Astyanax mexicanus: one gene and its partners. The protein of the gene in region 3 purifies or fractionates together with the protein of the main gene of each other region. This does not show direct contact. Links are inferred from orthologs where the notes say so. Each region holds a gene or a part of one and is shown on either strand. Other genes may lie near its edges.

The links. The genes of interacting proteins can lie anywhere in the genome.
Region 1: the proteins of hnrnpd (region 3) and heterogeneous nuclear ribonucleoprotein R purify together in Homo sapiens (affinity purification with mass spectrometry; 4 studies listed by BioGRID and IntAct, with this or other methods). This does not show direct contact. The link is inferred for Astyanax mexicanus from reciprocal best matches to the Homo sapiens genes HNRNPD and HNRNPR.
Region 2: the proteins of hnrnpd (region 3) and hnrnpub purify together in Homo sapiens (affinity purification with mass spectrometry; 4 studies listed by BioGRID and IntAct, with this or other methods). This does not show direct contact. The link is inferred for Astyanax mexicanus from reciprocal best matches to the Homo sapiens genes HNRNPD and HNRNPU.

Annotation. Positions count from the first base shown.
Region 1 is NC_064409.1:73,208,067-73,211,818, forward strand, and holds the start of heterogeneous nuclear ribonucleoprotein R, read left to right. Parts: upstream 1-1,575; 5' UTR 1,576-1,780; intron 1,781-3,290; exon of another isoform or gene 3,291-3,293; 5' UTR 3,294-3,294; coding exon 3,295-3,448; intron 3,449-3,643; coding exon 3,644-3,752. UniProt on the Homo sapiens protein: Component of ribonucleosomes, which are complexes of at least 20 other different heterogeneous nuclear ribonucleoproteins (hnRNP). hnRNP play an important role in processing of precursor mRNA in the nucleus.
Region 2 is NC_064408.1:59,825,345-59,829,096, forward strand, and holds the start of hnrnpub (heterogeneous nuclear ribonucleoprotein Ub), read right to left. Parts: upstream 2,636-3,752; 5' UTR 2,469-2,635; coding exon 2,018-2,468; intron 683-2,017; coding exon 568-682; intron 1-567. UniProt on the Homo sapiens protein: DNA- and RNA-binding protein involved in several cellular processes such as nuclear chromatin organization, telomere-length regulation, transcription, mRNA alternative splicing and stability, Xist-mediated transcriptional silencing and mitotic cell progression.
Region 3 is NC_064427.1:26,840,322-26,844,073, forward strand, and holds the start of hnrnpd (heterogeneous nuclear ribonucleoprotein D0), read right to left. Parts: upstream 2,819-3,752; 5' UTR 2,582-2,818; coding exon 2,433-2,581; intron 611-2,432; coding exon 442-610; intron 1-441. UniProt on the Homo sapiens protein: Binds with high affinity to RNA molecules that contain AU-rich elements (AREs) found within the 3'-UTR of many proto-oncogenes and cytokine mRNAs.

The DNA of each region.
Region 1 (3,752 bases), on a different chromosome or scaffold from region 3:
TACTTATTCTTATTTAATCGAAATACTCGATATTCAATTACAATCCTGTTAGTGCATGATTACTTACATCAAGAAATTAGGGGATACATATATATAGATGTATATTTATGCATATTTATTCAGCCCTACATATAAATAATAATAATAATTTTCTGTATAAATCATTGGTTGTTCTGATCAGTAATTTTTGTGAAATATATCATATAGCAGATGAACACAGTGATATTTGAGAAGTGAAATGAAGTTTATAGGATTTACAGAAAGTGTCCAATAATCATTTAAACAAAATTGGAACAACCAATGTTTTATAAAGGTAAATCATGAAAATATCAGGGGTGCCCAAACTTTTTTATACCACTGAATAATGTATTTTCCGTTTCGTATTTTCTGTTCCATATTTTTATTAATTCCTTTTTTTTACATTAGTAATTCAATTTACACATAATTTTGTAACAAATAAATGTAAGCAACAAAAAGACTGTGGAGATGTCCATGGATCAGATATATATCCCATTTAGGAGCACATATGAAAGTGACTCAAATCTGATTTAAAAAATCTAATTTGGCACATTCACACAGCCATAAAAAAATCTGATCTGAGCCACATTGAGCTAAATCTGATTTGAGTCACTTCAGCCTGGTAATGTAAACATAGTAGCGTTAGTAAATTAATAATTGCATGATAACAGGAATTAAAACCCCCAAACTTCAAAGAAAATATTGTGTGGTATAAAATACCAGCAAGAACTTGGGTTATCTAAGCATTTCATGAGCCATTTTATTAAAAAAATGTAGTTAAGGTCAGAAAATTGTTCAAATCCTCCTTCTGTTCTTAATCCTGAAAGAATGTCTTTTTTAAGCTGGTGTTGCTTATTCTTCCAAAAAAATAAGCTTACATGTAGAATCAGGAGCATTAAGGGTTAAAGCAGGATAAACAGATCTAGAGATGTCTTCAGCTTTTCTCAAAAAAGGCCCCTGTTGCAAAAATACTTTTGTTTAAATATTTGCTCCTCTTTTCTTTATTTGCCTTAGACTCTTGTATGTACATTATTTAAAGCCCCATGTTTTTTGATATTTCTTTTAGTTATTTAAAAAAAAATCTCTAAATCTTGAGGATTTCTATTCAAGCATTATATAAAAAGGTTTCAGGTTTGATAAGGAATATTACTGAAAATCATAATTGTAACTGTAATAGAAAGTATAGAAAAATAGTCAAGTAAATCTGCAGCTGAATTTGGTTTGATTTCTGTTACTGATCTGAAATTGTTTAGTTCTTCATACACACCTCTGTGTTTATATTTGCCCTAGCTCTATTTTTTTTTAAATCTCAAGTTCATAGTTGCACTTTTTTGTTTCAAATTACCCCTGAATACTATTTACCCTATTGCACTGTACATTGCACCTCTACGAGATTTTGTATTCAATGTTAAAAATTACATTACATTACATTACATTGCTTTTTCATTAATACTAAAAGATCTCTTTGAAGCCATGCCCCCCCCCCCCCCTTCTCTGACGTGCGCGCGCCCTCTGACGCAAGCGGCTCTCTGCCGGCGCGCGAGGAAGTGGCGAGCGCTCTCTGTGTGTCTGTGTGTGCGCGTGCCTGTGTGTGTGTGAGAGAGCGCGCGCACGTCTGTCTGTCTCGTGGACAGAGCCCTCAGCAGCTCCCCTCGCTCCGCTCTTCTAACCGCCGCTTCCAGCGCCCACAGCAGCAGCAGCACGGCCGCGGGTTGGAGGAGCCGCCCTCGCAGGAGAACCCACACCAGAACCGAACCGAACGGTGAGGCCCGGAGGCGGATTTTAGCGTTTTATTATTTTGGCGGGCGGCGGGGTTTGAATTCTGCGGTAGGCCGCGGCTAATGCTAATATTCTACAGCTAACCGGGCTTAACCTGTTTTCTCTGCTAGCTTAGCTTAGCTTAGTCTAGCCTAGCCGCGGTTAGACCGGTCGCGGTTTGTTAAATGGACATTAAACTCGGTCGTGTGCGGCAAATTTGGGTCTATAACGCGTTTAAACGCGTTTATAAGCGGATTTAAAGAAGCTAACGCTGCGCAAAAGTTGATTTTAGCGGATTTTGTTTAGTTCGTTTTAACCGGAGCACGCGAGGGGGGCGGAGCGCTGTTGTGTGTTTAGCTTGAGAGCTAACTAGCTTAGCCTAGCCTTGCTAGTTTAACACAACAGCGCAGCTACCTAGCGCTAGCAAATAAACACAAGCTCATAGTATGTCATTTTGGGCTGTTAGCTAACTTCCATGAGTGTAATTGAGTGTGTAACATTGTAGACTTTGTGTTTCCGTACACTTTGAAAGGTTATTAGAGCCCGCTTTTAAAATAATAACGTTACCCGTTTTCATTCACAGCTTAGCTGTTTAGCTTTAAGCTTAGCTCCTACCTCCAGCCTGTGGTGTGCATTTCAACAATGAACAAAAGCAGGTCACAACTGCTCACACAGCTTGTTTAATTAGCTAAATATGATCACATGTTTCTCACAGTTTGATATTATTTTGTAAACGTCCTAATTATCTAGTTCTATCATATCGGAATCACTTTTTTCTCCTTATGTCTTACATAAATTTAGGTAGTTTGTTAGCTATCCTAGCTGCATGTACTATATAGTTACCAACCTGGTCCCGTTGAACCTTCACGTTGTAGTTAGATAGTGTTCAGCATGTTCCAAGAAGTAATAATACAAAACAATCGCTTGTTTATTGACTGAAATGTGTGAGGCAAAATAAGTTCTTCCTGCACTATAGAGCAACAGAAAGTTTAAATGTTACTTGTAAAAAAAACCACACTATAGCAGAGTTTTTACTGGTAAAACGAAATAACCAAGTTATTGCTCTTAATTAACTGCTTGTTGTATTGCTGGTGTGATTTTAAGTTTAAATTGTGTAAAAATAAGTGTGGCTTTTTTGCCTCGAGTTGTCCTGCTAAATCTAAATTTGCTAATATGTCCTTATTCTGATTTGAATGAGGGAACCACTGCTTTATACTATTTGCTACTTTGTGGTGGTGGTGGGGGCTACTTTATGTATATTCATAAATAGCATAACTGAAGGTTATATTATTGTTGAGTAGGTAGCTTCCTAATATTTTCTAGTACTTTGGTTTTGCATGTTTTATAATGTAAAGAAAATCTGCAAGGAGGGTTGGGGTTACATATTTTTTCTTTATTTAAAGAGGCAATCACAACTCCAAATATATCACAGTTCAGATTTCTCTTGGCTGAGGAAATTTTAAGGTTCATTTCAAATGTTAATTGTAGCTTATGCTGTTTTGTCTCTTTCTCAGAAGAATGGCTGCTGAAGTGAATGGCAGCTCTGCTCCAGCAAAGGAGGAAGAAGAACCCATGGATGTCTCAGCCGGACACTCAGAGAACTACCAGACGCTCATAGATGCTGGGCTGCCCCAAAAAGTAGCAGAGAGTCTGGACAACATCTTTCAGACTGGTAAGTTCTCCAATACAATATATATGTGTAATGTTTTGCGCTATAGATATGATCAGTTTAAGAAAATATTGTTGCAAGCGGTCTTGACACCTTATTCAAACTAGCCAGAGTGATAAACATATTATTGCAACAAATCTGCTTGGTCTTAAAGTCTACTGGGTGCAAGTTTATTGAGTGTATGTTTGTGTGCTGCAGGTTTGGTGGCTTATGCTGACCTAGATGAGAGGGCAATTGATGCCCTGCGGGAGTTTAATGAAGAAGGAGCGCTGTCTGTACTGCAGCAGTTTAAGGAAAGCGACTTGTC
Region 2 (3,752 bases), on a different chromosome or scaffold from region 3:
AAAACATTTATTCAGAGAAGACAAGCTAAATGCAGCATGCAAACAAAAGGCACGAGTGAACGCTGAAACAATGCCCCGACCATCCCTTCCCGATCATCTTCTCCCACACTGGGTCATTATCAGAATACAACACCTAATCGCCCCCCAAAAACATGTGATCGGCTATATGACACGCTGCAGGTCTGAACATAAACGCCCACTGCCCACCCCACCGTCATGAGACAGCTGCTACTCTCCTGTTGTCCCTTTGAGCCAAAGGGATGCTTTCACAGCCATACGCGCGTACAACTGCCAAAACAGTGTGTGAGGAACAATGACAAGTCATGATGATTGAGACTAGAGGTTACACATCTGATCAATGTCTTGAGTTTGCAGCCTGTTCAGAAGGATACAAAAGCACTGCAAGGTAAGGTTTTATGAGCCAAGGATGACCCTCAACTGGCTTACACTTTATTAAAAGAGACATGTGAGGGTGTTTTTCCTACAAGTAAAGCATTGGCTCTTAAAGCCAATACATATTAAAAGTGGCACTTCTGGGATGACGAAGGCCATTACTCCCATCCTTACCGGCTGTATTTGCTTTCTTCAATAAATTCAAAGTAGCCCCTTCCATGTTCCTCCCGGCGTCTCTTAACACCCTTCTTATTCTTCTGATCAGCATTGTTGTCTTTGTCCGCATCTCCTTTGGAAATAAAACAAAGAGTGATGAAATGCTCGTGCGTGTTGGACCCTGGTTTTAAGGGTGGTCCCACACGACTAGGAGTTCTCGGACTCCTCCCGCCCCAGTTACACTCAAGTTGACCACCTCTGATCAGACAGAATATGTATTTAAAATAATATAAAAATGTATAAAAAGATGTGCATTCATGCTGTGTGTACTACTGTTAACTGGCCCATTCGGGGAGAATGAACCAAATGTGAGATCTTAACGTGTCTCTTCTTCACATGTGAGTGATGAGGATGAACAGCAGCTTATATTTAGCTACGCTAGTCCCTTTTACTCATACTGCTGAATGAACACGATCAAATATGTGTGGGGACACATTAAACTAGATAAAATCAACTTCGACGGCCACAAAAACGGCACAGCCATTAACCTAACCTAACTAGTTAACGTAACTCACAGTAAACGATTCTTGACCTTCTTGCTTCATTACAAATTAGCAGTTAGCTTAACTCTGCTAATACAGCCAGCTCCTTCACGGCCCCGGCTAAGCCACTTCAGACTATGCTAAGCTACAAAAACCCAAATTAAAACGAACAATTCCCTGCTCGGGTTAAATAATTAAACAATAGCCACTAAATCACCACATTACCTTGAGTTTAGCTTTAGCTTTCTAGCTAGCTATATAAGATCGTATTAACGTTATGTTACATACGGATTCGTGGAGATCGCTCGTCGCAGCAGCGCCAGGGCCTAGTTAGCTAACCCGCGCGGCCCGCCGGATAACGTTACCCTCTAACCGAAATATATCGGAGAGGCTAACAAAAGACCCTATAACCTGCTATTAATCCCCGTGTTGGACGTAGAAACGCGAAAAAACAATTCGTGCACAGTTTTGTAGCCAAATATTAAATTTCTAGTACTGCAAAAACCGGCAACCTATTGTTTCGGTCGGACAGCTCTAGCTAACGGGCTAACGCTAACTAGCCTAGCCTGACTAGCTCATAAAACAATAACGACAGATGGGGTTCGCACACGACCGCTGAGAGGAAACAAAAGCTACAGACGAGCTGACTATTCGAGCCAAAAACGACTATACTGATACTAAAATACCAAATAAACCAACCAAACTCCTTACACAACGAACTACCTAAATAATTCATTAAAATCGAACCTGCTTTTTTTCCTCTCAATATCTAACAAGCCGGTAACTATCTATCTACTAGCTCAGTCTACAGGGCGCTAAAGCTGCAGAGTGTTGCTAGGTTAGCGGCAGTCCCGGCCGGCGGACATTAATTAGCTGGTTGGCTAGGTTAAACTACGAGCTTCAGAATCGGCTCCTGATGCACTCACCCTCTGTTGGCTGGGACTCTTGCTCACCGTCTTCATCACCGATCTTATCTGCCTCGTCTTCATCCTCGTCGTCGTCTTCCAGCGCCTTGTCCATGTCGACCGCGGCGTCTCCGTCGTCCTCCTCGTCTTCGGCCATTTCGTCGTCCTGGCCGAGCTCGTCGAAGTCGGCCGCTGCGGCCTCCTCATCCGCGCCGCCTCCGTTCTCCCCCTCGTCGGCCTCCATGCTCTCGCCCCCTTCCTCACCCATCAGCTCCGGTTCGAGCTCGGCGCTGTTGTCCTCGGCCCCGTTCTCCTCGCCGTCCTGCTCTCCTCCAGCCTGGGCCTCGGCGTCGAGCGCGGCCTGCAGCCGGTCCATCAGCTCGGCCTTCAGCCCCTTGTCTGAAAGCTGGCGCTTCTTCAGCTCGTCCTTCAGCTCGTTCACTTTCAGCTTCTTCACGTTAATCGCACTCATATCTGCAGCCTTAAAAAAAATCACGATTACTCACAGAATTCACTAGTATAAAACAGTAACGCGGAACGCGCGCTCTCTCGGATGGTTCTTCTTCAGGACGAGGCGATTCAGAAAGAGCTGCTGGGATTCACTTCAGCTGCGCCAAAGCCGCGGTGCTTCTGGACGGAGCCTACCCTCATAAACCCCTCCCGCCCGGAAAACGGGGGAGGAGCGGTAACACCCAAGGTGACATCAGCTCAGAGTGTACAATTACAATTACACACACACACACACACACACACACACAGAGCGTAAAATCAAGGAGACATGAAATCACCTAATAGATCATACACATTAATCAGTATGTAATAAATCAAAACCAGCTGCGTGACATACAATATAAAATATAACTCACTTTAGACACGTTTACATTAACCTGTGTGTAACTGGGCCACTCAGCGAACGATAAAGGACAATGTGTGACATTCAACCTGTGTAATTTATTCACTGTAGTATTTTTAGCTGATATTTTGGTTAGTTCTTTTGTAACATTATCATTATTTAATTCAAAATCACTGTTTCTATTAATAACATGGTTATTTTAAAAAAAATCCTAATGAATGTTTAAAACTTCTTTACTAAATAAAACTTTAACATTTAATTTGTTGCAGTATCACATATTGCAGAAGTATTGTAGCATTATTTTAGGGCTTGGAGGGGATTACAGTAGTTAAGCTGATTCAGTAGCAGTAGGTGTGTGTTAAAGATGGTCTACATGGTCTATGAGTACAGAGGATTCTTTTTTTTACTTCTTTAATGAATGAACAGATAAAAAAAAATAGAAATGAAGCTTAAAACAGACAAAACCTCCACACACACACACATTTTGCTCAACCATTCAGCACCAAAATAAACATTATATCTGCAGTAGGGGTATGTCTTATCATACACAATAATATTGTCTTAATTTTAAAACAATGACAAAATCCATATTGTGAAACTAGCTTTAGTCTGTCTTAAAAGCAACCTATTTTGTATTTGTTTTGCTATTTACTGTAAAACTTTAATGTTATTTTTTATATATTTTTATGTTTGCAGTTTATGCGCATGCACAAAATATTCTCCACAGTAGTATTTTGGTAGCTAATTTTATTGTTGTAGTAGCACATATCACAGAAACACTCTGAATTATTGTAACATTATTTTTAGGGCCATGTTTCCCTAACCTAATTCGGAGCCCTTATTTCTTGGAGGGGTTTTACAGTAGTTAAACTGATTCAGTAGTAGTAGGTGTGTCTTAAAGAT
Region 3 (3,752 bases):
TATTGTCACATTGCACACAGAAATATTTATTTGGTCATTTTTATTACAAATATATAATCCCAATATCGATAAACGCTACATAAAAATTGATACGGATGCCCACAATGGCTGTCTGTAGCTACAAAAATAAAAAAATATATTTTCCAGTTACTGCAATGTGCCCTAGTTCTTCACTTAATGTGGTTTGCTCTCTTTAAAGGGCCATAAAGTTATATGTTAATTTCGTGGCTTGAGTGCTTTAGAGCTCTACAGATCTGCAAAAGGGGTCACCATTTCTACAGATTTCATCAGTTTAGCTACTGAGAAGAGTTAAATGAGGTGTTCTTTAGTATTGTTTAAACCCTAGAAACCTGCCACCACTCCAACCCCTTGCAGAAAAGAACAGTAACCCCTGGTCTAGAATGACCAAAATATGAGTAAGAGCATAACAAAGGACACTACCTTTTCCACGCTTTCAGCCTCTTTAAACAGCACAAAGCCAAAGCCTCTGGATCGTCCAGTCATAGGATCTAGTTTTAAAGTGCAGTCTACAACCTCCCCAAACTTGGAGAAGTAATCTTTAAGGTCCTTCTTTGTTGTGTCCCAGCTCAACCCTCCAACAAACATCTTCCTGTAAAAAGACAAAAGAGAATATGGCAAATGCTGTTTCCATATTAATATACTTTTAATAGGGGAGGCAGGCCTTTAAGCTATTTCAATTTTATTTTCTTTAACTTTAGGTGATTGAGAAAGGGGATACACAGTTATGCTACTCTTATTCTGTCAGTGCTGTAAAAAAAAAGCTAATTATGTGTAAAAAAAAAAAAGTGTAAATAAAATGTTTAACCACTTATTTACAAGCCTGTCAAGTCAAATTAAATCAGGTTCATTGCTAAATGACATTAACACAGGTGTAAAAGTGAACATCTTTGGTGCCTAGACCCTCACAATTAAAATAAAAATACAATAATAAAAAAAAACAATAAAAAACCATGTATAACCAAAAACTTAACACTATGCATACATTATTATGTTTCCAACATTTAAATAAAAAATAAGGTATTTTTTGTGTCCAAAAGAAGAATAGGGTGCAAGAATAGAGTGAAATGTTTGTTTCTTCTTCTTTGTCCTTTTTTTTAATGACCACAGATAAAAAGAAAGATTGCACAAGGCTGACTGTAAGGAGAGCAAATTTCAACATAAACTAAAAGCCAAATCCCAGAGGAAAGAGGAAATTTAATCATCCAAAAACAGCAAAACAGGACACATAGTAACAGACATTATGGTTTTATTATATATGAGAAACACAAAATTCACAAAACAAAATAAAACGTGTCTGTCAATGAAATGTTTTAATCTAAGTTTGCGTTATTAACAAATAACAAATAAATTAAAAAAGTAAAAATAGCTTGAAATTCAGGCGTAAATTCAGACTGGTCAAATTAGCCTACATTTACGCATTTTTGCAAAAAAAAAAAACCCGTGTAAAAAATCTAATTATCATAGCGTGTAATGCAGAGATTAGGTTATCTAGCTGCGCCTGTGTTTTAGCAACGACTTCACTGGCGTTTCCAACGCCGGTAAAATAAAGCTAACTAACGTTAGCTTAGTTAACTAGCTTTAGTTAATTACTTTCCTGCTAATTAACGTTATATAAAAGTTTTCCCATTATTAACGACGCTGTTTAACAGAGTTTGTGGGGGATAGTTTGCAAATATATACACAATATACGCATTAAATTAATAATAATTCGTTTCATTGGGTAGAAACTTGCTAGCATTCGCTATCTAGCTTTGCAATGAATGCAATGTGGACAATCCAGTTCCAGAAAGTAAAGATCCTTTCCGGGATTTTGTTCTAACTAGGGCAGCCCTGCTGCAACGGAAACGAATTCTGCAGGGCTGACCAGGCAGTTGGAGCAAAATCCTGGAGTAGATTTTCACTTTTTGGGAAAAGTGAGACTGGTTGACTGGTGGACTGGTTTAACAGCTTTGGTTGGACAAGTGGCTGTATAAGCACACCGAGACTCTTTGTAGAGGTTTGTAGTAAAAATAAAGACTTTTAAGTACTGATATATTTAATCTCTAATACTAAATTTACAGTAAGTACCGAATAATTAGCTTGCAAATGTAGCTGGACTATAAAAAAAATCCTGGAGCAGATTTTTCACTTTCTGGAACATTTTTTTTTACTATCTTTTTTTTTTTTTTTTTTTTTTAGCTAAAATGACAACTGGCTCAGATATAATCGCATACACACCCCAAAGAGAGGCTTAAGATGCAAATACAGACTTTAAAGTACAGATATTTCTAATTATTTAAGAATAAATGTCATATTATTAGCTATTATTAGGCAGATAGCTAGCGTTAACTAGCTATAGCTAGCCTACATGCTCAGCCACCATACAAAGCTCAGGCTTCTCCACCACCTCTATCATGAGCCCCACTTCTTACCCTTCATCCTCCTCATTTTTACTGGCATCAATCTTCGATCCTTCAGCGTCTCCTGATACACCGGCATGTATCTGTTCTTCTCCACCCCCCTCCCCGTCCTCCTCCATCTTCATACTCGGGTCTTCCAGGCCAAACAGCTCCTCCGACATGTTTGGTCGTTTTCTACGGGAATCTGGCAACTAACTACTAATGTTTCTGCTAACCTGCTTCTATACTAATCACCAGCAAACTCAGCTAACACAGATTTGCATCTACTCTCTTAGAAAATAATAAAAACTGATTTAAATCCCGGCAGGAATGTAGCCTAGCTAACCTATAGTTGATCGGTTTTGCCAGCTGTCAACTCCTCGTTGCCACACACCGGTGTCCTGACGAATTGTGTTACCCCGCCAAACCGTGCTACCCTAGTGTGTACTGTATATACAGCTCTGGAAAAAATAAGAGACCACTTCAAAATGATAAGTTTCTTTGATTTTACCAAATTATGAAGCTGGATGATCACAAGCCATTAAACCAAGCTGAACTGCTTGAACAAGAGTGGCATAAAAACTGGTCGAGGAGAACATTCCAAGAAAATACAATAAAACCAGGGTTATTCCACCAAATATTGATTTCTGAACTCTTAAAACGTTATGAACGATATGAACTTTGAATTATTTAGGATCTGAAAGCTCTGCATATTTTTGTTATTTCAGCCATTTCTCATTTTCTGCAAATAAATGATCTAAATGACAGTATTTTTATTTGGAATTTGGGAGACATATTGTCCGTAGTTTAACGAAAAAAAAAAACAACTATGTTAATTTTACTCAAATATATACTTATAAATAGCAAAATCAGAGAAACTGATTTAGAAACTGAAGTGGTCTCTTAACTTTTTCTAGAGCTGTAGATAGATACATAGATGGAGGGGTAGATTTTTATTGATGGCTTTGGGAGGGTTCCCTCTGCGAAATAAATTTTCCAGCAGCATCATTACAGTAGACACAAAAATAGATAAAATAAAAAATATAAAAAAGCTACGAAAAAAAGTAAGAAAAGAAGAAAAGGTGTTGCATCATTGCATATTTGGATAAAAATAAATTAAAATATGTTTATTTTTAAAAAAGTATCATATTAGGTATATTTAGAAAGCCTACATTAATGTATCAGGGTAAAGTTAATGCAATTTAATTAAGATTAGTATTTGTATGTATACGTTTTATTATTATCAACTGCCATGTGAAATGCTTTTTAAAATTCAAGCAGATATATTTAATGCACAAAAATGCATTAAAAAAATAAAGTGCTGGTCCGCGCATGCGCAGTGCTGTAAGAAAC